4 linked regions of the Medicago truncatula genome follow. Each later gene encodes a partner of the first gene's protein in a complex. Links are inferred from orthologs where the notes say so. Each region holds a gene or a part of one and is shown in the gene's direction. Other genes may lie near its edges. The genes, in order: carbon catabolite repressor protein 4 homolog 4, carbon catabolite repressor protein 4 homolog 6, carbon catabolite repressor protein 4 homolog 5 and carbon catabolite repressor protein 4 homolog 3.

Region 1 (7,061 bases):
TAAAATTTGTGTGTATGTGAGTGAATACTCAGTCTTCACGTTTATCTCAGCTTTCTCTAAGCATAAATGACATTGTAAAACTAAAAAGAGCAGTAGACAAACATGCTACATACTAGGAGTACATTAGTTAGGTTTTCAACCATGTATGAACAAGACTTGGCTTATGGAATATGAATCTCATGATTGCAATGGAAAGTTGTGGTGGCTGGAGAATTTTGTATCTTTTTAATATTTTTTCTTTTGAGAAATGTTTTGGAAGTTGTTTATTTATGGTGTATCTATACAACTGGCATACGCAATTGACGGTGTGCGGTGCTTTTTAAAATGTCACATTTTTATGTCACTATTATATATTGTGCCAACTGCCAAACTCAAAATTACTTTTTAAACTTAAATCCCATATGTTAACACGTCCCTAATAGTCCAATAAATATTTCAAGGTCAAGAGTTTAATAGTTCACTACCCTTCAAAAAAAATTAATAGTGCACTATTAGTGGATGATTCTAAATTATTGACTTGAAATTAAGCCAATAATTCTTCTTTTTATGACAAATGTGAACAATTGGTGAGGTCAACAAACCAGACAGATATTGAATGTTTTGCAAATCATGTTACATTATACTATGTTAGTAACAAGTTATTCCTATGAACAGATATATTAATATGTCGTTCAAAATATACATTTTTCCTTGCTTCAACATAATGGGGAAGGGGGCATTACAACATTTTTCTATCAAGAGCAACCAATATATCACGATCATGTTATAATAAAATAAAATCAATGTCAAACACAAAAAAAATATTATAGCATGTTATATATGTTCTCATAAAAAAAATACTACCTCTATTTTGTTCCCATTGAAAATTGGGCAGCAAGTTCTCGATCCTTTGTTTTTTATTTTTTTTGGTTTAATTTTGTTCTATTAAGTTACAAATGTTACACACCTTAGTCTCTTTGTACTTTTTTCTTGTTCAATTTGGTTGTTAAGTTACAAATGTTATAGACTTTGGTCCACTAAGTCATTAACTTTAAACACTTTTGATCAATTAAGTTACAAATACTAAGAGATTGATAGAGAAAATTAACTTATTTATCACTTGTAACTTAAGGGATTGAAATATCTTATATGCTTGAAACTTAATTGATCAACATATGAACGTAATACAATTTAAGGGATCAAAATTGAATGTAAGAAAAAAAATTAAAGGGTCAAAGCATCTAATGTTTGTAATTTAAAGAACTAAGCGAAACTCAAATATAATTTAACCCAAGATTAATCTAGTAATAAGCATGAAGCAACAATATAATTCTACTATTACCACATAAAATATCAATTGTTAGTTGAGGAGAAGAGATTAACAAAGTTCCTTTTTCTACGTTAAAATATCATTTGTTAGTTTTTGACGAATATAGCTTAACGAGATTTATCATTTCCGCTCTATCAAATATGCTACTCTACGTATCAAATGTCAATGCAACTTTCTATCATATAAAAATATATTTAAGAGACCATATTACAATAATTTTAATGATGATTATTTGCCTACACCTAACAGAAAAATGATAAACTAAACATAAGGCAGCTGAAAAAATTAAATGCATTGCACATAGCATGTGATATGGAAGTGAAATTAACAAAGAACAACTGGAATTTCATAATGTGAAAAGGACGTTAGTGTTACTATTTGGATAAAATCTTAGGCCTCTCACTTACAGAAATAAAGTTAGCTAGAAACCAAATTCGGAGTACCATATTGACCAATAAGAACCTAGCTAGCTAGCTATCTGTGTTTGAGGAGTTAAAATGTCACAACTTCATTTGTTAGGATCAGTTTGGTTTAACTAACTGAAGAAGAAATTAAGTCAACAACTACACCTGTCATGTTGTTGTACACTTAATTGTTTGCTTTTGCATCTAATCATCTTAACATATGTTAACATCAAAAGAGCTAGCTAATTAGGGAAATTAATTGGTGTGGTGCCCATATCACACTTCTAACTAATTTTTCTCATGTATTAGATGATAAATACGTGTAGAGTGATCATCACACGACAGCGTACTTCCGTATGGTACGGTACATTCAAGCTGACGTGTTTATCCAAGCTTAGAATTTTAGAGTGGTATAAGTTTAGGTCACATGTCATTGTGTGGTTGATCTTCTGACAGGTCCAAAACACCTACCAAATAATTATGAGACAGTTTTATTTTAACTTTATTGATTTATAAAATCATAAGGACCAATAATTTATTCTTTAAATTTATGAAATAATAAAGTAATTTTTATATGATCGATACCAAAAAACCACTAGTCATTGTTAATTAACACAATCTTATCTGAATGGATAATATTGATGTGCTAGTAAGTGGGTATGGAATATGGATATATACATGGTGGTTAAAACTTGATTACGTTTAGAAGCCGTCTAGAAACATGAAATGATTCTGGAATTGACCCTTTTAATTTAATGCAAAAAAATAATGGCAGATATACGTCAACCAATCAACATATCGTATAGAAATAAGACTCTTGAATTGCATGAACTTTGATGTTTGAAAATGATCATACCACAATGATTAGTTGTTGTAGCTAGTTTCCACTCATAAAATAAAATTGCTATTTTTAAGTCTCTTAATTTGAATTGATACGCAAGTCGAAGTGGAACCAATAAATTTAAGAATTGAAGTGCTTTATTGGTTTTAAGTCGTTGGTTGAAAATGGCCTAGTAGCATACTACGGCCTCATTGGTCCCGCAAGAGCTATTGGTTAAGAGAATGTGGTGTAATTGCATCAGCCTCTCACATCAATCTAAATTGAGGGAATTCATGATTTAAATGTTAAAAATGCTAAGGAGTGTCTATGTGCGTAGAGATACTAGAGACTAATGTCTCTGAAACACTAGTTAGTATGACCTTTAAATGTTAAAAATGTTAGGAGTTTTATCATTGACATCATATGTAATTTTGTTTTTGGTTTGATATTTTCCTGGTACTAATAAAAAAAACTTAAATATAAAAAGGTTATAATAACAAGTGACCTAAGAATATTGTTTAAGAAATTTATTATGAGAAATTTTATCTTGAAAACATAAATCAAACATGTATATAAGTAATAATTACACAAGATTCTACTATTTCTTGATTCCCAACAAATTTAAGTCATATAAACTAGATTTGTTGCCACATTTCCTGTAAAAACCTACAAGTAAGTGGTTTGGTGGTGGAGTCATCCGAAGGTAGTGCCCCCGATCAATGAAGATTCACCTAGGTCGGAAAATGTGGTTGTGATTGAGGAGGAGCATGCCAGGGATGCCCTGGACACATTGAATTGATTAAAGATTGTTAGGACCATTGTTGTGGATGGTATGAAAAACGGTACTTTATATGACGACCTATATGTCTGTCTTCAGCGTGTTGCAAATGAAACAATGTCGACCACTCTGTATCAAGTCCAAGAAGGAAAGGAGGACTTTCCGATGATTTTTGTTGCATTTTGTTTTTAGTTTTGTTTCATATAAATGATGAATGTTGGTATGTTATTACATAAACAATTATTTTTCGGTTTAGAATGAATGAATGACTTAGATACTTGGTCAATTTAGAATGTTAATCTTATGGTATGAATGCTTGAACGAATGACTGTTTGTGTCTAATTTTATGAATGAGTGTATGAATGATGGAATGAACGAAGGAAAAAATTAACGTATGAAGGAATACATGAATGTTAATTTTATGGGACGAATGAGTATTTGTGCAAGTAGTGCCCAAAATTTACACATAAACTTGAGTTTATGCGTCTTTTCTCTCTTTTGTTTTTGGTTAAGTAGCCTAGTGGCTAGAGCTCACACAATTTAACTGTGAATAAGTTGAGTGTTTGGAGTTCGAACATCGGTCCCTACATATAAAAGGCAATATCCATACCAACTAAGCTATGCTCTCGGAGATTTTCTCTTGAACTCATTGCTAAAAGCCTAAAAGTGAAATAATTTAATTGTATTTTTTGTCAGTTTGAGGTGTATGTGAGAATCACTAGGTGTCTAGAGAGCAATTCCGAAGCAAAATTAATTGATGTTTAAGTTGGGTATAATTTGGCCTGGTCCAATTGAAGTCTGAGCCTGAGGATGAATCCTTCTAGATCTGACACAATGTCAACGAAATGAGCAAATGGTAGAAAAACGGCGCTGTCAGTTTCGGCTATGCTAAAAGCTCTTGCTTCGCTTCCTCATTCACTCTCTGCAACTAGGTATTTATTCATTAAAATGCAATCAACTAGTATATAATATTCAAGGTGTTTTGTTTATTCAACTCAATTACTTTAGTGTTGCGAGGAAAATGAGCACATCACCAACACCAATGTCATATCCCAAATTCATTTCAGTTGAAGGCGTCGATATACATTCCCGAACTAAACCTGATGGTAAGTAACACATTCCTCTCATACTTTTTTCGTGTTTATAATGAAGCATGGATACTTTTTGATGCGATAAAGAATTTTCTATGTCATTCAGATTTCTAAGAATTTTATCATTGCCGAATTTCTTCATTTTTTTTTTTTTATATTTAATTCAGGCTTGAGATTCAGCCTTGTCTCCTATAACATTTTGGCTCAGGTATGCTAATTTCTCAAATCTTGTTTTATGCTACGATTATCATTTACCAACTAAAATACTCCCTCCGGTACATCAACAAAACTTAATGTATTTTGTGTTTATTATGATTCAGATATATCAACTTTTGTTAACTCGTTTGTCTCTTATAAAAAAAAACAGTGGAGGGAGTAACCTACGAAGACATTTTTAGGAAGTGAGACTCACACGCATGCACACTAGTAATAGTTAATTATATATGTTAGTGTCGTGTTGGTGTCTGACATTGATACAAGTCAGAAACTTAATACACCTTCAATATGAAGTGTCAGTGCTATATTGGACAAAAGGTTTCAAATCTAGTATGTATATAGATACCGTTACCATGTATTTGCTATAACATTATTTTCTAATACTTTCCTATGTATTGTAGGTTTATGTGAAGAGCTCTTTTTTCCCATACTCACCTCCTTCGTCTCTCAAGTAACATACTTTTCATCTTAATTTTGAATTTGAATACTGATAGCGTAACAATTTTTTGCATATGTAGATTGAATTTTAACTGTAATAATTGATTTTGCTTTCTGTAGATGGAAATATCGTTCAAACTCGATTTTAGATGTTCTCAAGAACTTGGGAGCTGATTTTTTCTGCCTACAGGTTTTTTCTTTTATTTAATTTCAAACTTTTGCCTTGAGTTTTGATTATTTGAGTACTTTCTTTTGAATAATGTTCTTTGTTATGGTGATTTTTTTCAGGAAGTTGACGAGTTTGATAGCTTTTACAAAGGAAAGATGCAGGAGCTGGGATATTCTTCTATTTATATGAAGAGAAGTGGAGAGAAAAAGCGTGATGGGTGTGGCATATTTTACAAGCATGACCGGTATGTACAACATTTTTGCAAAACTCAACTAGCTAGCTTTTAGTTTTACATTGACATGTTTATGATGTACTAGTAGAGATTATGCCTATAGTTATTGGAGCTATAATTGGTGCTAGATAGGAGCCTACGATCAATGTTTTGAAAATGACGTGGACATCAGTGTTATGATATCTCCATTTGTGGTTCTATCGGTTATATTTTACTGGAATTTTTTCACTATATCAAGGATCACAATGCATCCGCGATTGTGATCTAAAACTATTGAGCAGTCCTTGTCTTACAAGTCGATTTTGATGAAGTTAAGTTATCCCTCAGATCCAAAATCTAAAATGGTATCTTAGTCTATCCTAGATTTATTATTCGGTCAAGTTCTCTGTTATTCCATCCGCATTTGTCCACACTTTAGATGTTCTGTCGTGGTCTTGAAGGGATGTGTTCAAATCTGTGTCATTCCACCCTCATTGATCCACGCTATGGATGTCCAATCTGAAGGGTAATATGTTAAGAGTGCCACACTGACTAAAGATACGATCTAATTAGTTCTTTTCTCGCTTGGACAATGATCACCTTACAAGTCGGTTTTGACTTTTGTGGGGTTGAAGCACACCTTAGCTTGGATATTGTACCGGAATATATGCTTTTTGAATTAGATTAACTACGATTACTTTGCTAATCCAAGGGCCCAATTATTGATTTTAAAAATTGAAATCCCTTTCTCTTGTGTCAGCATATTAGTAGAGTGTAAGTTTTAAGCTTGGAAGGATTTGAATATTACTCTTGTGATCATAGAAGCACTTATATGATATTGTTCCTTTGAAAAATTTGTTTAATAGATACACTGATTCATGAATAACAAAAACCCGGAAGTAATTATGGGGTAATTGAATTAAGCAATAATGATACTCTTGCTTGTTATCAGTTATTTGGTATTCCGGCAACTATGGTTCTCTTTATCCGTCCTCTCTCTTTGCCTTCTCATCTTTTTGAGGTTATTTGTGGTCTTTTTTTCGTTTGATACCTATAATCTTTATAAAATTTATCCATACCTTGTGCTGTTTAGTGCAGAGTTGCTCTTGGAGGAAAAAATTGAATACAATGATCTTGTAAAGACAATTCAAGATGAGAACTCTTCAAATGGTGATGAACAAAACAATGTCCAGACAACCCAGCCAGATAAACAAAAGGATGATGCGACCAAAGCTGGTAAATGCAAATTGAAATAAAATTATTCTGTGTCCGTCTGTCTCTCTGTATATGTGTATGTGTGTGTGTGTGTGTGTGTGTGTGTGTAATTCTATTCTTAATAAAAAGTATTTTCATATCTTGACTCTTGAGATTGTACTCTTGAGATTATACTTTCTGTTGCTTCATTGATGTTCCTGCATTGATTGTTTTAGAACAGAAAATGAGAATTTTCTGTTACTTGTACAGACTTCTGAGCATTTTGCTTCTTCATTAATTGGTTTTCTGATGCAGGACCTACATCGGGTACAGTAGATCGTGGAGATCCTAATGATCCTCATGTGAGACTAAAGCGTGATTGTGTTGGAATTCTGGCTGCATTTAAATTCAATGGTCCTTCTCAACAATTT
Region 2 (7,261 bases), on another chromosome or scaffold:
TCCTATCTGATCTCTTGCTTTAGCCAACAACATTCTAGCTCTTTCAGGTTCGTGATTTTCAAATTCGAGCTTAAAAGCCGCAAGCCATAATTCCTCTGAATTTGGTATGGCAGCATAAGCTTCTTGGAGAAGTGCTCGAGCTGCAGGCACATCTCCGGCAAGCCATTTTTCCTTGGCAAGCATAAGCCAAAGAACTTCAACCTGTGGTATGTAGGTGACCGCTCTACGAAGTAAACCATCAAAAGATTCCCTTGTACCGTGACTTCTTTCAAGTTGTGCTGCTTTGATCCAAATGCTCTTCTTAGTTAAGAAGACATTCAAGGCATGATCATATATAGCTCTGGCAGTCTCAATAGAATCTCTTTTCTCGCATTCCTCAGCATCTGCTACCCATGTTCTCTTCCTATCTTCTTCTTCAACTCCAATTCCAATTGTATTTTTTATTATTGCTCGGCAAGTTTCAATCGAACCACCTCGTTCTGCCACCTCTGCTTCCTTCATCCAAGTTTCTCTATTGATCACCACACCTCCTTCCTCCAAAGCCTTCTGAATTCTCTTGCCAACCTTGTCTGTATTCCCATTAGCTTCTTCCAACTTGGCCATCGCTATCCATATAGTCGCCTCCTTTGGCAACCTAGAAAGTGCCTTATTGAGAACAATCTTAGCATTGTCATAAGTTTCCAACCTGGCCAGTGCAAGCCACAATTCCGCATGTAAAGGACAACACTCCACGGCTCTATGAAGTAAAAGCCTAGCATCTTCCTCATTCGCAAGCTCCACAACCGCCTTCCAAAGCCTAACCGAATTCGGAACACACTCCAACCCTTTCCTCAAAACCCTACTCTTATTCACATCATCATCTTCCAAATCCGAAGCCCGCATCCACAACTTAACAGAATTCGGAATAAACTTAACACCTTTCGCTATCACACCCTTCGTTTCATCTGGATTCACCAGCCTACAAGCCTCCAACCAAACATCCTCATTCTTCGGACATTCTTCACATCCTTTCTTAATCAATAACCTTGCTTCCTTAACCTTCCCCGCCAACTCCTCCAACCTGGCAGCCGCAATCCATCCACAAGCATACTTCGGATTCGTTCGAGTAACACTCTTTAACAACAACCTCGCCTTATTAAAATCTGAAACCTCAGTATCACTAGCAATAACATTGTTACAAAGAACACTAAGATACCCCTTTGGATCAACATTAGTCATCCCCGAAACCGAATCCGATAACCTATCCAATTTCAATGACAAAACATTTCCTCTACCCTCACCAACAGCATTCAAATCATTTCCACCAATTACTGACACATGTTGCTTCTCTTTCATTACTTTCTCAAGAAGAGTATCAGGAACAGGAACAAAACTCTCAAACCTAGTTTTCTTCTTATTCCTTAATGAATGAATACCACTCTGAAATTCATCAAGACTCTCCCAATCCTTCATAGATAGCGTATACAAATTCCGTTTCAAACCAGAAAATTGTTCAGTAAATTTAGGTTTTGAATTTTCCTCTGTTAGAACGCGATCGTTTCTCTTAGACCTACTCATTCTCTTATCAATTGAATCCCAAATTTCATCGGCTTCTTTATCATCAAAATCGTAATCATCCGAATTGAATAATCCAGCGTTGTTGTAACCTTCAAACTCGTCGTATTGTGTATGATCTTCATCGTCTTCGTCGTTTGCGGGTTCTTTTCCTCTAAAGTATTCGGGATTGCCTATTGTGGTGGCGCGTGCGGGACCGATGTCGGAGCGGGTGGTGAAGCCGGTGGCGCCACGACCAAGTCCGGCGACGTAGTTGGGAGGCGGTTTCGAATTTAGAAAATTCATCGCTAATCTCAAACAGTTTCAAAATAGGTTTCTATAACGAGTAAACCGACATATTTATAGGTTCGTTCTTAGATGAGAACAGGCCAGAAGCATACGTCAGCCCAAACCCAAAGTCAGATTTTTTTTTTTTAATTGAAAATGTTTAATAGCATGTTTGTGCAAAAGGTGTTCCAGCCGTGATTCCAAACACACAATAAGTCTTTTTAAAAGTATTTATCTAAGCCATAAAAGAGTATTTATCTCACTAAAAAGATCAATCATAAGCCATAAAATAAGTCGAGTGAATTTGTTTTTTTTTTTTTCACGAGATAAAATGGAATATATTAACATTCTCAAAGTGTATGGCAAACAAATCCGCACCCATGGATATCCGCCACGGATATGGAGCGGATACTTTAATGGATATCCATGGATAAAATAAACGGATATTTTATCTACCTGTTAATTAATGGATACAGATGCAGATTTAATGGTATCCGCACCCGCAGATATCCATACCTGCTATTAAACCGAATAAATTACATAAATAACCTTAATACTTTTCAAATTTCTAAGAAAAAACCTCGGTAGTGTGAGTTGTTATTAGTTATTACACGATTTTTCAAGTTTGTATTACACTCTTTTAGAAGGTAGTGAAAGTGGTCGGGATTGTTGAAGCAAGAAGTTTTGTTTTTGTTGAATATGATGAGAGTTTTATTTATACTTTTGTCAAATCAAAGAACTTTATTTATGTTTTTGTTGAGTCAATGATTTTTGTTGTTATTGTAATGTAGTGATATTATGTTTTACTAAAAAGAAAAGAAAATGCATGTGGTCAACTTTTTTAAATTTCAGCTAAAAAAAATTAATATCTTTTTTTTTATTATTATAAATAGTATTCATGGATATCTGTATAAACTCGCAGATACCTCAAAATCTGTGGATTATCTGCTAAATGGATGTTCGCGCGGATATGGATAGGACATAGATTTCATATTTGTCTAATGGAGCGGACACGGATATCACATTATCCGCATCCATGGACATCCATTTACATCCCTATATCAGACAGACTTATCAAATTTTACAACCGTAACAATCCAATAGGAAAAAAGCAACCTATGCCGAGGCAAATAAAATGATATAGCCATTAACGATGATAACCTAAGGCAAAATTAGCATATTTTGCCTTCAACTATCAAATTGAAAGCAATTTTTACATTATTGAGAATCGAAGGTATTGATTTTTACTTGTTCTTGAATAACCTTTTTTTTTTTTTTTTCAATCCATGAAACCCAAGTGCAAGAGAGCTAAATTAGATGCGAAAAGAAACATCACGCTTTTATAAACACCTCATGAGTAAACGAACTGAACAAAATGATTTGAAATATGATGAGGATCAACCGAAGAGGAACCTAACTAAATATGCACGAGGTATCAAAGAGTTATAAATAAATCGCAAGATAGAAACAAATGATGAGATGTTTCTTCGTTACCACGCCCACTCACACAAAGTTGTGGTTCGTGAGAAATTATGCCGCGTTAATTTTAGCTTTTTTGTCGATTGAGTTATGATTTATGGACTAAGAAAAGTCTTTTAGGCCAACAAAATTTACTTACTTAAGTGAATAGACTAAACTTTGGATTAAATAACAAATTTGTCACTTTTTTAATCAAAGCTTAAGTATTTTTTTTTTCTTGTCGGTATACAAAGTGACAAGCACGCCTAAAATTTACACACAATCGTAATTTTGTAAAGTCTTAAGTTTAAATTCGAATTAAAGTGTCCAACTTAACATACCGTAGAGGAGTGTTAACAACATTGTCTTTTCCTCCCTTAGTTTTAACACAATCACTTTTATTACATGAAACTTACGGGAGTTTCATTACTTTATATAACTCTATTTAATTTCATCCAATACAAATGAGAGGGTTGGAGAGAATATTAAAAAAAGAGTGTTGGTGGTATTGACTTGATACTTCAGAACTTCAATTTCTCCAATGCTAATTTGGATGAACTAATTTAACATCTTCAAACAAAAAAATTGTTGTCAATGTTATCACTCCTTTTAGTATCTTTTGACAAACACTCCTTTGTTGGCAAAATCAAATATTATTCAATTCTTAAATCAAGGGTCTTGTTAATCAATGCCCTAAGAACAATAGTTAAGGATTCTATTAATAGAAACTTTATCTTGAAAATATAAATCTTTACTTTTTTCTTATCAATGATTACACCACTTTTCGATGTAAATTTACTTATTTTAATACTTTAACCAATGCCACAAGGGCAATGGTTAACATTTCCATTAAATCAATTCTAAAAATATAGTTTTTTCTCTCAAAAAATAAATAATTTTTTTCTTAGTTTATCTAGATTCGTGCATAACCTCACGCGTCTAAACGAGCGTGAATAAACGCGCCAGTTCACTTTCTGACGCGCTTTTTTCCACTCTCATAGTTTCAGTTTCACTCCCAAACAATGCGACGCAATCCTCCGTCCCTCCATCTCCTCGCCGCAACCGACGCCGCCTTCTCCACCGCCACAATGTCTTCACGCCCCTACGTACTTTCTCCCTCCCTCCCTCCCTCTCTCTCTCCCCTTCTTCATACTAACAACGGATTCATTTTTTCCTTCAAATTTTGCAGCACCGAGGTCACCGGAGAGGATACTCCGGCCGTTCATACTCCGGCGGAAGAGACCAGTTAGCTACCGGAGACGATCACTTACGGTCAGTCCGCGACGCCAATTCAGCAATCCGGCGAGGTGAGAGTGAAAATGTTGCGAATCAAATACAGTACAATCCTCGTCCATATCCACCACCTCAATATCCACCTTACGATCTTCATCGTCATCCTCCACCGCCGTTTTACCATCATAATCCACTTTACAATCCTCGTCCTCATCCACCACCTCAATATCAGAATCCTTCTTATAATCCTCGGCCTCATCCTCCGCCACTGCGTTTTCGGCCGCCGTATGATAACCGACGTGAATTTCGTCCGCAACAGAATTTTTATGCAAAGCCTGCAGATTATCGAGAGTGGGAGAATGCATTGACGCCACCACCTCCTCGTTGTGGTAACTTCACTCTTGTACTATGTGATTTTATTATGATTTTGGTTTAAAACTTAGGGATTGGGTTGATTTTGATTTTTAGCAGTCTGAATTCATAATGTTGCTGTTTTGCATTGTTCATATTTACTGCGTCATGTAAGGGCGTGTTTGAATTGATTTATTTGAGCTTATCCACCGACATAAGCACTCTGAGACTGTTTTTAGCTTATTTTATAAGTTTTTAGAGATAGCTTATAAAAACAACTTATAGCCAATACAAAAACACTAACTTTATTTTATCTATTGTTATAGAAATAGCTTATGCATAAGCTGCAAATTAAGCTGTTTATCCAAACAGGGCCTAAAACTGTCAGATTACGAAAAATTAATGTGAGTTGTAAACTTGCTAATATCAAGGAAAAACCACATGCATTTAGGCATTAATTCAAGAAATCAAATGACAATTCGAGATACATGGTTTGGTAAATGGCATTTCTAAATTTGTGATGCTATTGCTTAATGGACGGAGCACACAAGTTTAATTGAAAAATGAGGGTGGTAAGAAGAACCATTGGGTTCAAAAGTTCAATATGTTACTATAATTATGTCCTAAGTAGGACCTTAATCCACTACTTAGGTGAAAAACATTGAAAAGATGAGGGTGGTAAGAAGAAAACTTGGTTCAATATTTCAATCTTTTGCTAGAAGTATGTCCAAAGTAGGAGTCTCAGAGCTAAATCTACTACATAAATGAAAATATTGTAACTCTCTGATGATTTGGTGAGTGAGAGGACGATAGGTTTGAGGTTGATTGTTTATCACTCCTGCCTCTTCCCAATCTTTGTTGCTCATGATTTGTTGTTTTGGAGTTTTACATCAATACATCGCCATACTAATTTAGCTTCTGTATTTTTTCTTTCTTTGTACAACAGAAAGGTTTAAAGTCCTTTCCTATAATATATTGGCGGACTACCTTGCTATGGACCACTGGAGAAAACTTTATTATCATATACCTTCTTACATGTTGAACTGGCAGTGGAGAAAGAGTAAAATTGTTTTGGAGCTTGGCCTGTGGTCTGCCGATATCATGTGTTTACAGGTTATCAATCTATTACATATTATGCCACAATGCTAACTTCTTGCTCTAATATGCTATTTGACATGTTTGTGACCATACACTGTAACACTATTGTAAAATTTGGTTCGATGACATATTGCAAGAGAGATTCTTCACTTATAATTTTTGGCTTCAGACTTGAAATTTTACATATCATCACATATTCTACCTCATTTTCCAAAAAATGCTTTTACATTAATTTGTCAAACTGGGTTTTTGAGTTACATTAACATCTCAGCAAAATTTGGAATTTTTTTCATGCCTTCTTTGCTGATCATATCATCATTATTTCTCAATTGTGTTACATGCATGGATACTGCACATCACATGGAAAATCTGATTAACTGTAGAGTTTAAAGAAAATTTCCTTTCGATCTTATTTTCCAGGAGGTTGATAGGTTTCACGAGTTGGAGGAGGATTTGAAGTTTAAGGGATACAGAGGCATCTGGAAGGTTGGTTAGATGATCTATATGTTTGAAGGCTACATGACATAAGCATTCCTACTGTAATTTTTTTTTTGTTCAGTGCTGCTGGTGCCACTTTTTATTAGTATTGTTCTTTTTCTCTCGGGCTTTGGTTCTACTTTGAACTTTGTTAAGATGACATCATTTTTATGTCTATGCGATAATCAAACTATCATTGATATATTTTTGGAACTAATACTTGCCTGAACCTTACAATGTTGATTAATCCATGTAGCCATCCCACTTTGTGGAAAATGTTTGGCTGCTTTTGTTTTTATGATGATTAGACCATCAGACATTACATAATATTTATTCATAAATATATGAATGTCCCTTTCATTTGGGCTTTTATAGTTCTCTGTCATTTTTGGGAGTAGAAATGCTGATATTAGCTAGCTATTTAATCAGAGAACTTTGCTTTTACTTGAGAAGCATGTTTGTATTATTATTATTATTATTTTTTTGAACAGCAAACAACTTTTATTCAATATGATAGAATATAAGTACAAGTGATGCTAGATCCACCAATTTAGATGAAGTACAAGTAGTACTCTAACTACCAAAAAATCCCAACACACCCTCTTACTTTCCTATACAAAGTAAAGGGTTGGCATACCATTCATACAAAAGACAGAGATACCCCACTTTTGCTATTTTACTTGAGAAGCATGTTTGTATAAGTGTGTGTATCATATAATGATAGATTGGCAGTATTTCCACTTCTCTCCATATTCCACATTCCACTTCTCTCTATATTCCACAAGTTGTAACTTGTCGTGTGATGTGGACTGACCTTTCTTCT
Region 3 (7,250 bases), on another chromosome or scaffold:
CCTTGAAACTCTACCTTCCACCTGCGTCGGACGCCCTGGCCAGTCTCCATCCAAATCCACTTTATTACGACGATGGTGGCGCGATGGAGCAAGTTGACAGTTACATCGGTACTGCGATTGGACCGAAGTTGGATGATGGAAGTGGGAACGATTTGGAGTTCATTCCTTACAAAACTGAACTCAAAATTGCTAGATATAAATGTTGGTGTAGTAATCTATCTATTTTGGACAATTCTATGTTCAATTTTGATATTTTTAACTTTAATAATGTCATATTTTAAATCTTGATTTGATAACCATGCTTTTGTAAATCTAGATTAAATAAGTTTATATTTTCTTTTGTGAAAAAAGTCCAAAAAAAAAAAACCAAAATTTCAAGCACAATAGCATCCAAACCATCTTATCTCTTTTGTGATCTTCTCTTGGCAAAACTACCTACTATACAATGTATTTAGACCTAGTTCTTGGCAAAACTACCTATTATATGTGTCTGGTGTCGAACACGAAACATGCAGACTTTCTACCACTTATTGATTTTGCACCGAGTAATATGAGCCGTCCAATCTCAAATTAACTGTCAATATTGTTTAATGCATGTAAAGATGTCTTTTTCCTACAGCAGGGAATCCGGCAAAGCAAACACATGATGCAGTGTTGTTGGAAGACTCTTGGTTTATCATACAAAGCTTGAAAATCTGCACATATAAACATGATAACAAAAGTAAAAAGTAAACCTCCTAATCACAAGAATGAGAGAGAAACAAACCTGTTCAAAGAGCATAAAACAGCAACTGAATTCATTCACCCATGATGAAAGAAAAACATTAAAGTGAAACATAGAACTCCCTTCAATCCAATGGTAGGACTAAGCAGAAAGGTGGAGTTGCTCTCATATCATGCACTTGGTCAAACTTCATGTCGTGTAGCCGACAAACATTTAAGTTTATCCGGATGCATGAGATGACAGCTCTTGCCTCTACTTAGCCCTTCGTATTGGAAAGAAAGGAGCTCTTTGCTTCCTAATTACTATTTATTCACCCCTCATTCCACCACAAATGGACAAGGTACCCCCCCTTCCCCCACCAAATGGCCCCTCCCTCTTGTTGCTCCTTAAATATAACTCCTTAAAGAATGTTGTACAATGCTGTTTAGATTTTCAGCAATGGCTCAATGTCTAAACTTTCTACTTTATCCGAGAGAAACTTTGTCCTCTTTCATGATGTAGCTGTGGCAATTGTGTGTGTGAGAGTGTAGGTGTATATATAAAGAATTTGGATTGTGTAATGTAGTCAGTCATGCATATGTGGACCATCTGATCAAAATTGAATGATTTAGATTTCAACGTTGATTTTGATTTTTTTTTTAATTTTTACCGTATGTTTGGTATCACAGTAGGTTTGTCGAAATCACAATGAGTCACCGTTATACCAAACATGCATTTAAATACGTAGATAAGATAATTTTTTTTTTTTTTTTTTGTGGTGGCCGGGGTTTGAACCTCAAACCTTACATAAATTATTATGCATTGTTCTTACCAACGGAGCTAAACTCACAAGGATAAAACGTACGTAGACAATCTGATCAAGATTAAAAGGTTTAGATTCCAATGTTGATTTTGATTTTTAAATTTTAGTACATGTTTGGTATTACGGTAGGTTTGTCGAAATCACAATGAGTCATCGTGAATTCGTGATACCAAACATTCATTTAAGATATCAAGTTTAAAATATGAATCTTCCGATCTTGATTGAACCACTAAAATGTGACTCACCGCACATGATTGTGGCTGCACAAATCAAGGTTTTCATGACATAAATTGAAACTTTATTGGCAAAACTTATATAGTATATAGTATATGCTACATATAGCAGGTTTTTTAAATCAAGATTTTACTTAAACAAATGAGGAGGAAATTGACAATATTTTCTTTCACTTATACTAAATCAGCAGCATATTATAATTTGAATCTTCAACTAATGTTCATATTTAAATGCAAATTATCCATAATTTGGTCTAACAAGTAATGGCAATAACTTAGTTTACACCACATAAACTGATATATCAAAATGCAATATATTAATTAAGTTACAAAGAGATATAGAGGTTTTATCAAGGCTTATTTTTTGTGAAAATAAAACAAATATATTATATATATCTTTCATGATATAAATTTATTTATAATCTTAACTTAGATAAGTCAGAAGATCATGGCTACAGTATCAAGAGATTCAGCAATACCTGCAGGATTCCCATGATCATATCATCACTGTTGCAACTTTCATTTCCTCTCTCAGCATGCAACACAAAATATCTAAAAATGACCATTGATCAGTTTGTCATATATATGTTATCCTAAATTTATAACTGAAAGGACAATAAAAGCTTTTTTCATGTTGGATCAAAACAAGAAAGCAGCAATGTCCAAAATGAGATTACTTGTTGTACAAGAAAACTTGTTCTATCCAATCTTTTTGTGACATGACATTGTAGTTGAGTTCCAATGAAGTTTGACCTTTGAATTTTAGTATTTGTCCAACTCCAATAAATTTGGATTCTGATTCCCTGTCAGATTAGATTGTCTTCTTGCTATTTTTTGGCATTTATTGATTCAATCCATAATTTGTAAACTTCATTTTGTTGAACTATACTTTTTTGGGTGATATTTTAACCTTATGCATGGAAATATCAAAGTAATGCCACTAATATGGATTTTTTTTTTAGGATCCACCCATGGTCCTTAGTAAATACCTGCAATAGCAGGTAGGTAATTACACTTCCACTCCGGTATACATTTTGTACGGTTTATCCGCATCCGTTTCAAGTCTATCAAGATGAACAACTTCCGCACAAAGAATGTAACAACCACAAAATGCTTGATATGTCACCACCGTCGATTCTGAAACCACCCATTCATGACGTTTTATCCGCATAACATCCTCGGTCCATGGAGCCATTAATTTTGTTCCAAACTTGACTTGGGGTTTTGTATGAAAGTGATTATAATGGAGGTGTTGATTGTGGTTGTTTATGCGGAGAATGTGAAAGCATTAACAGTTTCCCTTTTTCTCAAAAAACAAATTGAAGCTTGTCTTTTGTGCTTAATGACTTATTCAAATGCGAATACGTTTGTGAACCGGAAACCAGATTGAATTTAAGATTTTGTTAAATGGTGAAATTAAAGTTGCGGTAACTAGAGTGAGTTAGTGATTTGTTGTGAATTAGATGATTTACTGGTTTTGATTGCAAAAGGCCCGTGAAAATAAAGATTCATGTAAACTTAGAAGAAGTGTGTCAACCCACTATTGTTGGTCATTTAGCAAGGACCATGGGTGGTCCTTGAAAAAAGTGGTCCATATTAGGGGCTCTCCAACTTTACTAGAAAATAATCAAACTTAGAATTTGAAAGTTATCCATTTGTTTGATCACATATTAGGTTATGATTGTGGACTATTGACAAATTAACTACAATTGTTTCAATGTTGTATGAGACTTTGATATCATATTTCTATCTAAAAATAAAATCTTAGAACAATGGGTTTGTGAGTTGATATCTCTGTATTTTTTATTCCGTTCATTTCTAGTCGAGTTAAGACTAAGCACTTATACTTAAATTTTTATAGAATGCGACATCAATTAAGTAGCCATAGTTGCGCGGGTAACATTGGTTTAGTTGAGATAAGAAATTAAATCAGACAAACCATTATTTAGATTCTTGGATGTGTAACTCATTGTTATATTAGTCATTGACTCAAACGATGATCTAAATACATCCTTCACTTTTCAATTTATAAGTCACTTTAATCTTTGACGTTAACTAGGACATTAACTTGGTCAAAAATTCTGACGTAATGACTGAAAAAGGATCAAACGACATGATGACGTATATGTGTACCAAGATGAAAGAAAACCTTCATTCTTCTTCATCATTTCCCAACCCATGTCTCTTTCCTTTAGTATTCAATCCTCCAAAGCATGATATTAACCACACATATGTTAAATAATCACTAAATAAAAATTTCAATTATTTTCTTAACCAATATATAAACACATTCAATCCATAACTATTAAAATAAATTGTGATTTCATACATTATATTAAATTAATTTTTTCCCTCAAAAAAAAATTAAATTAAATTTTTCTCTCAAAAACAAATTAAATTAATTTTTTAATTTGAATATTAAATATTATATTTAAAAAGGTACCACACTTAATACATTTTATTCATCACTATTATTTATTTTATAAAAAACCAAATTGCAAAATAATTACCTCTTTAACGACACCGTATCCTAAATCAACCATCAAACCCTAATTTATCACACGCGCCACCGTAATCCTCTACTCCGGCGACCACCATGCCACGTCGCAAACGGGAGAATCTCCCACTGGAAAGTTCAACCGGCAATTATCCATCAAAGCGTAGAAAACATTCTCATTTCGAATCTTCAAGCTCTAATCGACTAGCATCTTCTTCCTCATCTTCTAGGAAATGGGTTTTCTCTTCTGAAGATTATTCTGATTGCGCCGGTCAGAATCACTAGAAAGTTCTATCCTTTTTGTAAAGTTTATCATTTTTTTAGTTTTATTTTTCACTCTGAAATTTTGCATTTAAATGTGATTCATTTTTTGTGCTGAAATGTTAATGTTGTTTAATTTTTAAGCATTAAGGGTTTGTTTGGTAAAAAATAGTAGATAGCTGATTAGTTAACTTTTAGCGGATTAGCTTATAGCAGATAATTGATAAGCTAGTAGTGGATAACTATATTGGATAAGCTAGTTGATTCAATTGGCAGTGTTTGGTAAAAAGTTGATATGGTTTGGTTTTTAAGCATGAGGGATCTGTTTGGATTGACTTATTTGAGAGTATACTGGCATAAGTTTTTGCCAGACTGATTAGGAGAACTATGCGCACTTGTGACATTGTTTGAGAGAACTTATCAAAACAACTTATGACAAGTTTATAATCTGTTTTCAGCTTATGTCCGTAAGCTCTCCAGGATAGCTTATGAAAACAGCTTAAAAATTATACAATCTATATGCATAAGCACTTGTGATATTGTTTGAGAGAACTTATGTTATGACATATTCATAAGTTGTTTTCGGCTTATACAAAAAACAGTTTGGATTTATTTATCTTGTTTTATCGAAATAGCTTATACATAAGCACTTATCACGATAAGCGCTTATGCTGTATGCTGCAAATTAAGTTGATTATCTAAACATGGCCTAAGTGTTGGATTTCTAAGGTTGAGACTTTAATGTAAGGAAACTAAAATTGAGAATTTCCGTATGAAACAATAATGAGATTGTGATTGGTAAAGTTTAATTGAGTGAGGATAGATAGTTATTTTTGAAAGAAATTTTATTTGGAATCCATCATATAGGGTTATGCATTTTCTTCTTTCTTGCTTACTAGAGTAGTGACTATGGTAACAAATCTTTGGTACTAAGTAGCATCATTGTAAGGTCTGAATTCCGGTTGTGTTGAGATTGTTAATTTTGAGTAAACTTGTGTTTAAATGCGTTTGATGCGGCTGCATTTTTGGTCGTGATGCAATCATGTACATATAAAAAATCTTGAAGTCATGGTCACAATCATGATTGTTGACTGTTTTTCAAAATTTTGAAGTCACTTATAATCGTATATTTACCAAAAATAAAAGTGGCATGAATGTAAAGAATGATGGAATTTGCTTGCTTATAGATAGTGGGTTGTTAACATAATGAACTGTTTGTGATGAAGTCATAGATAAAGAACATTCCATTTTCGAGCTAGTGATGGAATGTTTGTCATTTAGACTTCAGAGTAGATTGTGTTTATCTCATATTTACTGTTCTGATTCCTTTCCATGTCTTGCAGATACGATTGTAGTTGTTTCATACAATATACTTGGCGTTGAAAATGCATCAAATCATCTGGATTTGTATTCTAATATCCCTCGACGTTTCCTGGATTGGGGCAGACGTAAGAGGCTCATACTTGAAGAGATTGATAGCTACAATGCAAGCATACTCTGTTTCCAGGTAATTTAATAATCCTTACCTATGTTATACACTGCATAGCACAACTTAATATGTTGTAACAAACCTGTAACCATTTTACATTCATCATTTATGCATCTCTACCAAGTCTTGAAATGTTGAAAAAGAAGAGTTGGACATAGTTTTTTTTAATTTAGCTACAACTCTTGGTTACTTGCATTCATGTACCAAAGGGTATTGGAATCTGTGGTAATTTTTTTTACCGTTGCTTCATGTGTTTTGTTGAGATGCAAGTTATGCGTTCATGCTTATGTTAATGTTAATGTTAATGTTAATGCCAGTTGGCACATAATTGATTTCATGCATCCTAGAAATAAGTTGTCAGTAATTGATTTCTAGAAATCCAATGTCTGCAGGAGGTTGATCATTTTGATGATTTAGATGATCTTTTTCAGAACAATGGCTTTAAAAGTGTTTACAAGGTAAGTTATATACATATTTGAATGGTCATATAAGCTTTTGATCTCCAAACATTTAATCAATTTTTCCTTACCGGGGTTCTTATTACCAATAGGGTCGCACGGGAGAAGCCAATGATGGATGTGCTATATTTTGGAAAGACAAATTGTGGGTTTCCATTACCCCTTAATCCATTAGATAATTAGGATTTTGTATCTATAATTACTTTATTTGATATCTTACATTTGTAACCTTTGACAATAACTGCCTAAGCATTCCTAGTTACAAGGAAAGCCAATAGATCAAAGATTTAGAAATCATAGAACATGCGATTGATAAAATACAGTTCCAAATTTGGCCTAAATGCAGTATATTTTCAAAATTTGAATGCAGATTCAGTCTTTTGCACCAAGAAGATATAGAGTTTCAGAAATTTGGTATGCGTCACAATGTTGCCCAACTTTGTGTTTTGGAGGTATATGCGGTTTGTTTTTATTTTTTTTAATTTGTTTCCTAGCTATTGTGTTTTATTTGCTTGTTGTCTTTGATTAGATATATTTATTATCTTTTATTCAAAAAAATTAAATCTTTTTTAAATTCTATTATACCTAGTACTATTCTATATACTACTATGCATATGTATGTTCTTGTTGAATTAGACCAATAATCTTAGGTTTTGTATTTTTATCTGATCACTCTATTGCACCATTTATTTACAGGTAAACAATAATAATCCAGAATCTGACACATGTAAACTAACAGCCGAGTAAGTTTTATGTTGGTTAAAATGGGCAATGTTACCACAAATT
Region 4 (7,688 bases), on another chromosome or scaffold:
AAATTCAATTATATTAATTTAGAAATAAAATAAATTTTAAAAATTTGAAAATAAAAAAATTCAGGATTTTTTTTATTTCGAAAAATATTTTCCAAATTTTTTATTTTTGTTTAAATTAGAAAATAATTTTTTTCTAAAATTTTAATTTCAAAAATGATTTAATAAAAATCTGGAATAAAATTTTCGGAAAAAAAAAATCTGAATTTCATCTAAATTTTTTAAAAAATTTGTATCCAGATTTTTAAAAATAAAACATTTTCCAGAATTTTTTTTTGTAGAAAAAATTTAAAACTGTTTTTTTTTTTTAAATTTCGAATTTGTTTTTTCTAATTTAACATTTTTTTTTATTTTGAAAATTAAACTCCAGAATCTTTAAAAAAAAATTGAAAAATCTGGAATAAAATTTTTGAAAAAAAATCTGAATTTCTTCTAAATGTTTTAGAAAATCGTATCCAGATTTTTAAAAATAAAACATTTTCCATAAAAAAAATTTGTGTAGAAAAAATTTTAAAACTGTTTTTTTTTTCGGGAAAAAATATGACTTTTTTTTTAAATTTCAAATTTGTTTTTTCTAATTTTTTTTTTTTATTTTGAAAATTAAACTTCAGAATCTTTAAAAAAAAAAACTGAATTTCTTCTAAATTTTTTTAAAAATTGTATCCAAATTTTTAAAAATAAAACATTTTCCATAATTTTTTTTTGTAGAAAAAATTTAGAAACTGTTTTTTTTTTCTGGAAAAAAATATGACTTTTTTTTAAAAGCTTGAATTTGTTTTTTCTAATTTTTTAATATTTGAATTTAAAAAAAAAAACCGATATTTCAAAAAAATCTTATCGTTAATTCTGATTTTTTTAATATTTGAAAAAAAAACTTTTTTTTACAATTTTTAAATTTTATGGAAAAAAATCTGAATATTTCTGTTTTTTTTTTTGTTTGAAAATTAATTTTCAAATATTTTAAAAAATAAAATCTGATGTAGACAATTAATAATAAATAAAAATTAAAAAAAAAAAGCCAAGTCAGCGCCACATATGCGCATTTGATGAGTTGGATGGAGGAGGGGTGTTTTCCGGAAAGAAAAAAAAAAGTTTTACAAGGATGCAAATCAAACCGAAAATTTTATAGGAGCGAAAACTGGAAATAGCCTATATTACAGGGGTGAAAAACACTATTAACCCTTTATTATATACCGTTGAGAAAACATCTACTAACATAAATAAAGGTGTATTGATAATGTTTAAAAAAAAGAGGTATATTGATAAAGAAATAATTAATATACTTTGAAATTTGAAAGAGATTTTATAAAAATAGACAAAAGAAAAAATTTGAATAGGTCTCGTAATTAAAGACGGATGTAGTATTAATTAAGTGGGTCGGAAGTGGTCACACAATCGTTGTTCTATTAGTTAAAGTTGGTTTCTTTTACGGGATAAGTTTAAAGTTGCAGTTTCTTTTACCGGATGAGTGTTGTACACACTTGAAGGAACTAAGTCATAGGGAAAACTTGCAAGAGGTGGATAGGTTGAATTATCGGTGTGTTGTTTTCCATTTGAATATAACTAGACCTTGCATCCGTGCTGCCGCACGGGTCATATTGATGGAAAACAAAACATTCAATTATGTTTTAAATAATAATCTAATTAATCCAAATACAATGTTAAAAATAATAATACACATGAAAAAAGGGAACAATTGAAAAAGATACTAAAATGCAATTTATCAACTACTGCAACTTCAAAATTGTACGGAGACTATTAATAGGATTTTTATTTATTTTTTTGACAATTGATGTTTAAACATTCTGAAACATCTGTTATATGCTACATTAATAGTCGTATTGATGTAATCACCGTACAATTTTTAACATTTTAGGCATATAGACTTTCTCCCCAATGTTGCTTCTTGATTGCACCTTTTCTTCAAGAACATAACTACCAAACTTTGTAATTATCAACCGAGTACCATTACATAGGCTAGCAGTGAAGTCCAAATATCACATTAACATTATAGGAACTCACACCTTCAATTTTCTCAAGTTTGTGCAAAATATCACCTTTCATCTTGAGGAATGAAATAGAGGCCAATGTTGTGATTATTTGTTCCACATCTGCTAAAACTCTCTGGCAACACAGTTGATCTTTCTAGCAAGTCTGCATAAAGCACTATCTCAAAGTTGTTGGATTTTAATAGAAGCACTATCTTTCTGGCAACACATGTAACTTGAAATGTGACGAAAGCTCTTTCTCAAAGTTGTTGGATTTTAATAAAGTTACATACTACATGTGTATGTAATCAACACCCAAAGTATAAGTTAAGAATACATAATGTATAAAGCAATTTTACAGCAAATAAAACATTAATATGAAGTAGTATTTTAGGTAAAAACTCATATGCCAATTCTTTTTCCTCTGCTAGCGATGGAGCATACAAATAATAAACTGAAATGCAAATACTCAATAGCCAACCTCTCTATGACAGTTTCTGCTAAAAAATATCAGTTATTGGATCAATCCTACAAAGCTACTTCTAGTTGAATTCATATCAGCACCAATAAAACAAAATACATGGTATTGATCTGCATCCAATAAACTCTGTTTAGATCCATATTAATTCTTTCAAAGGGAAAATCCAGAACATTGTACATCTAAAAAAAGTTACCCAGATAAAGAAAATAAATTCAAGGTCCATATTTTATCTCTTCTCAATCTCTTGCATAGTAGTGCTGAAAGTTGAATTCAGAACCTACTGAATAAAAGAAAAGAATTCATTGAAGAATGTAGCGGAAATTGAGACAATTCCAAAGCCTAAATCTAGAACTCACATTTGTAACCCAAGAAGAATGAGTTGTAAAAGTAAAATCCAATGAGGCATTCAATCAAACATGTAAAAGAAGAAGTAACTAAAGTTGAAAACTTAACAAAGAAGGTGATGAATTAACTATAAATGTATGGAAAAAGGAAACAACTCACCATAGATATGATTTGAAGATGAGTGAAATTTATTAATCTTCAGTCGCCAAATCCATACCACATCTTGAACAGAGGAAACAAAGAACATTAAGAAAGGGAAGATGAAAAAAATTCTATGAATAAGAGAAGAAAAGGTAGAGGTGTGATGGTGGCAGGGAGAAGGAGGTGAGGAAAGGTAGATGAAGAAGGGGAAAAGGTCATAAAAGGATCGGATGTGTAAAACATCGTGTAATCCCAGAGGTTTTTTTTTTTCCTTGGGACAATAAGAATGAAACTAAAGAGAATTGTGCCAAAATGAGAGAGAAGACAAAGTTTGATCTTTTTTCTGAAAATTGAACAAAAATAGGAGTGTGGCAGACAAACAACAAAATTTGTATTCCCTGGCAGTGAAATTTGAATTTCAAATTCGGCAATTAATGAGCATTTTTCCGCCCAGTGCATTAGGGTTTAGAAAATGGGGTATGCATAATGTACCTTAGGATTAGATATTAAGATAATATATTCTCTGTTCAAGTTATCCAATTTATTGAAACGTAAAATTGTCAAGGATGATCCAGAAGTGGTAAATTGATTGTAAAGTTTGAAGTAGTTGATGAGTGGATAAAATTTCTACCTTGCATTATTTTTGTTCTGCAAATATGAGTAAGACGTGAGGGTGTATTATCCGTGACCATAAACGTCGATAGACCCTCTTTCTCTAAAACGTTTAGTTTGTATAATTCGAAGTTGAAAAATACGTTTTAGATTATACAATTCAAAATACATTTATACATAAATTACCTTCAGACTCTTTTCAAAAAGTAATGGAAACACAATAAATGAGATTTGAATTGTGTTTTTTAGTTTTAAATTATTTTTAGTGATAACCATTATTGCTTAGAAAAAAGGTTAAGTAAGTATTAGAGGTTCTTTGTCAAAACATTTAACTTCATTTATATATGTACACAATAATGAAGTTAAACCATATGGAATTTGCTCTAAAACAAAATACTTCATTTGTCTTATTTTAATTGTTTCTTTAACTTTTTTCTCTGGCTCAAAATATTAATCACTTATGTAACATTTACTATTTTATTCAACTATTATACCTTTATTTATTGAATTTCATCCAACTTAATTATTCAACTAACTATAATTAATAATGTTATTTTAATAAATGACACCTAATTTTATAATTAAAATCAATATAATTAATAATTTATTTAAAAACCATGCATAATCTTTAAACGACTATTAAAATGAGATAGATGAAGTGTAAATGAGAGAGAGCATGTTTTATATTGATTCACCATCAACTTGATTGACTAGTTTAGTGCATATCATCCATAGTGATTTTGTCTTCTTACCTTGTGTAACTTATAAACACACTTTTTAATAATTTGAATTTATTAAATCTGCACGAGGCTGACTTAAAAAGAAATAAAGAAATAAAAAAGAAATATAGATATAGATTAGGTTTCACGTTAGGATTTTTTTTTCTAGGAATATTAAAAATAGTTTTTTGACAAGAATAGGAATATTACAAGTTCCCTAAAAAAGAGGAATATTACAAATTAAGATTTGCAAGGATATATAAAACGAGAGTAGTGATATATAACTTTTTTTTTTTTATTGGTCAAAAACAAATAGAAAGAAAAAAGAAAAAAATAAAATAAAAATATAATATAAGTATGAGAGAGAAGGTTGTGTTGTACTAATTTAGTTTAAAATAAAAGCAAGTAGAGTATTAAGGGAAAATGAAAGGAGAGAAAAGCATCGGGATTAGATAACGAATTGTGGCGCGTTTCATTGTTGATTTGGAAATGGCCTCTTCAACTTGGCTCATCTCCTCTTTCTTCAAATTCAGTTTCCCTACAAGAGCTTCACAAATTCACTGCCAGTGTAATACAAATTCCAATTCTTCTTCTCGCGGAATCCAACGCCGTTGGGTTGAAGCATTCGATCAATCCCTCGCATCACCGGAGAGATTCACAGTAGCTTCATATAACATACTTGCTGATAGAAATGCTTCTCAACACACTGATTTATACGTTAATGTTCCTTCTCGTTACATCAATTGGAATCGCCGTCAAAAGATTCTTTCTGAAGAACTTTTTGAATGGAACCCTGATATTATCTGCTTACAAGTAAGTAAGAACCAACGTTTCACCATGCAAATAAGTACTTAATTAAGCTGTTTAACTCAAAAATGTATTATTCTCACTCATTGATCAGGAGGTGGACATGTACGTTGAACTCTCCAATATTTTGGTTAAGGCAGGATATGCAGGTTCTTATAAGGTGCTAGTAACTTTCATTTCCTTTAAACATTTTTCTGAATTTAATACTATGCCTCTGTTTCCATAAACAACTTATAGCATAAGCATTCATCATCATAAGCGCTTATCTATAAGCTATTTCTATCGCAAAAGATAAAATAAAGCTTTTTGGATAAGTTATAAGCTGTTTGCATAAGCTATCTTGGAGAACTTATGAAAGTAAGCTAAAAACAGCTTATGAGCGATGTCCTCATAGTCTGTTTTCATAAGTTCTCCCAAATAGTCTCACAAAACTTATGTCAATAGATAAGCTCAAATAAGCCAATCCAAATAGGCCCTAAGTGCTATTTATTGCTTCCGGATGCTGATATAATTTGCTTGTTCCAGTTTCATAATATGCTACCTAAACTTGAGTTTCAATATCAATTTTGTAGGTTTTTAAATTTAAAAATTGGGTTTGTCTAACATGTGCAATGTTGCACATGTTAAAGCAACTAAAAGTGAACACTTTTTATGGAAAAACAACAAGTATCTATTAAAATGATACATATTTAATACTAAATGCACAAGTTCCCATTCAAACTTACTTTTTTGAAATTCTTAACATGTGTAAATTTGCACATGATAGAAAAACCCTTAAAAATTTGAAGGAAAAAAAAGTGTTACTAAGCATAAAATGGTAAAGAAAAATATTTTTTGACAAATCCACAATTGATAGTTAGTTCTCTTTATATTATGGTATAGAAACATTAAATAAGACTTCAACTTAGGGTTTGAGTTTCTATTTTTTACTTTGGTTTCTTAGTGCCTGGTATATTCTCGATCAATTTTCGGTTCATTAATAAATTAATGATAAAACTTAGTTGATTTTATCTGCATTGACAATAAGACATGCTGATTTATCTCTGTCAAAATGTGAAAAAATATTTAGCACTATAGTATTGGTAGTAGTACACCTTGATATGTAGGTTTATAAGTTCTAACTAATGGGAGCCTAATGAATTATGTCAATGGAGCTGCAGAGACGCACTGGAGATACATCTGACGGTTGTGCAATGTTTTGGAAAGCTGATAAGTAATCTACTAGTAGCTCACTTTGCTTGTTATGTTAGATAAAAATTGATACCAGTTTATTCACTTTGGTCAGTCTTTTTCTTATTTGTCTGTTAGGTTCCGATTGTTAGATGGAGAAAGCATTCAATACAAGAACATTGGCCTTCGTGATAATGTTGCTCAACTTCTAGTTTTTGAGGTATGAGTTCCTTGATGCAAATGACGCGAATGCTTATTCGTTTTGGCGTTTCAAAACTTCGCTTCTGCTCTTGTATTTTACAATTTTTTTTTTCTATTTAAAAAAATTACTTGAGCACTGCATTAGGCACAGTTAAACAAAATCAGCGTCAGAAAACTCTTTAATCAGAACACTAAACCATTAGAAGAAAATATTAGAGATTGTTTGCTCCCATGGAACCATAAAACAAGCATATGCAAGGTTTCCCTCCCAGTAGGTGTTTGCTACCTATGGGGTTTGAACCATTGCCGATTTATGACTGCATTGCATTCATGACTTTCCGAATGTAGAAAATGTGCATGTAAAGGAGAATACCTTACATAGTTGTGACATTGATTATTAACGTTGTTGTGGGCATATTTATCAAACATGAGTGCTGTGGCACTTGAATGCTGCCTGAATTCCTTGCTCCTTTCGTCAACTCTTGCTTTATGTCGCGTGATCTCTTATAATAGCTTGAATATAAGCAGTAGCAATCCTTTATTGTCTTAGCTTTATTAATGTAAACATTGTCCTACCGTGCATCCATTGGTCATTCTTTGCATCTTTAACTTCATCCTGTACAGGCAGATGTCTGGATCTGACTCAAGAAGACTGTTGGTTGGTAATATCCACGTACTCTATAACCCAAACAGGGGAGAAGTTAAATTAGGTCAAGTAAGTGTTTTATTCCCTCTTTGACCTATAAACAAAGGTTTTTACTCCCTCCTTTGCATAAAGGTCTAGCTGATCAGTTGGGATAACTACTAATGCCTAATCCTAAAATGTTTTTGTTATCTTGGAAATACTATTCAGTATTTACATTGGCTTAAGCTTGAAAACCCTATTTATATCTAGAGTAGTGTTATTTGAACATCAATTTGCTTGACAACTAAATGGACAACCACATTTTTACCAAGAAAAGTATGTATTGGTACAAATATCAAAGTAATAGAGAGAGAAAGTAAAAATATAATGTGAGTATGAGAGAGAAAGTTGTCACAAAAGTTTTAGAAAATGGTTGTACAAATATCATTTCTCTTATATCTAAGTATTTACATTAGCTTAATGCCTACCCCTAATCCTTACATTATCTTGTGAAATATTAAATGTTGCAGATTCGTTTTCTCTCATCAAAAGCACAGTCCCTCTCAGAGAAATGGGGTAATGCCCCTGTAATCCTAGCTGGT

Evidence for each region.
Region 2: carbon catabolite repressor protein 4 homolog 4 (region 1) and carbon catabolite repressor protein 4 homolog 6 share a complex: the UniProt entries of both Arabidopsis thaliana proteins name them as parts of the CCR4-NOT complex. The link is inferred for Medicago truncatula from reciprocal best matches to the Arabidopsis thaliana genes AT1G31500 and AT5G11350.
Region 3: carbon catabolite repressor protein 4 homolog 4 (region 1) and carbon catabolite repressor protein 4 homolog 5 share a complex: the UniProt entries of both Arabidopsis thaliana proteins name them as parts of the CCR4-NOT complex. The link is inferred for Medicago truncatula from reciprocal best matches to the Arabidopsis thaliana genes AT1G31500 and AT1G73875.
Region 4: carbon catabolite repressor protein 4 homolog 4 (region 1) and carbon catabolite repressor protein 4 homolog 3 share a complex: the UniProt entries of both Arabidopsis thaliana proteins name them as parts of the CCR4-NOT complex. The link is inferred for Medicago truncatula from reciprocal best matches to the Arabidopsis thaliana genes AT1G31500 and AT3G18500.

The regions. Positions count from the first base shown.
Region 1 is NC_053046.1:10,822,621-10,829,681, forward strand, and holds the start of carbon catabolite repressor protein 4 homolog 4, read left to right. Parts: upstream 1-4,046; 5' UTR 4,047-4,196; coding exon 4,197-4,243; intron 4,244-4,319; coding exon 4,320-4,417; intron 4,418-4,569; coding exon 4,570-4,610; intron 4,611-5,019; coding exon 5,020-5,069; intron 5,070-5,176; coding exon 5,177-5,246; intron 5,247-5,344; coding exon 5,345-5,469; intron 5,470-6,529; coding exon 6,530-6,672; intron 6,673-6,945; coding exon 6,946-7,061. UniProt on the Arabidopsis thaliana protein: Acts as a catalytic component of the CCR4-NOT core complex, which in the nucleus seems to be a general transcription factor, and in the cytoplasm the major mRNA deadenylase involved in mRNA turnover.
Region 2 is NC_053042.1:2,231,459-2,238,719, forward strand, and holds the start of carbon catabolite repressor protein 4 homolog 6, read left to right. Parts: upstream 1-4,236; 5' UTR 4,237-4,301; coding exon 4,302-4,385; intron 4,386-4,468; coding exon 4,469-4,901; intron 4,902-5,809; coding exon 5,810-5,976; intron 5,977-6,381; coding exon 6,382-6,447; intron 6,448-7,261. Other genes in the region: protein STABILIZED1, read right to left, coding at 1-1,839. UniProt on the Arabidopsis thaliana protein: Acts as a catalytic component of the CCR4-NOT core complex, which in the nucleus seems to be a general transcription factor, and in the cytoplasm the major mRNA deadenylase involved in mRNA turnover.
Region 3 is NC_053047.1:39,091,948-39,099,197, forward strand, and holds the start of carbon catabolite repressor protein 4 homolog 5, read left to right. Parts: upstream 1-4,240; 5' UTR 4,241-4,355; coding exon 4,356-4,527; intron 4,528-5,860; coding exon 5,861-6,024; intron 6,025-6,398; coding exon 6,399-6,464; intron 6,465-6,556; coding exon 6,557-6,609; intron 6,610-6,834; coding exon 6,835-6,916; intron 6,917-7,160; coding exon 7,161-7,207; intron 7,208-7,250. UniProt on the Arabidopsis thaliana protein: Acts as a catalytic component of the CCR4-NOT core complex, which in the nucleus seems to be a general transcription factor, and in the cytoplasm the major mRNA deadenylase involved in mRNA turnover.
Region 4 is NC_053049.1:47,848,958-47,856,645, reverse strand, and holds the start of carbon catabolite repressor protein 4 homolog 3, read left to right. Parts: upstream 1-4,686; 5' UTR 4,687-4,772; coding exon 4,773-5,096; intron 5,097-5,184; coding exon 5,185-5,250; intron 5,251-6,250; coding exon 6,251-6,303; intron 6,304-6,398; coding exon 6,399-6,480; intron 6,481-7,089; coding exon 7,090-7,176; intron 7,177-7,616; coding exon 7,617-7,688. UniProt on the Arabidopsis thaliana protein: Acts as a catalytic component of the CCR4-NOT core complex, which in the nucleus seems to be a general transcription factor, and in the cytoplasm the major mRNA deadenylase involved in mRNA turnover.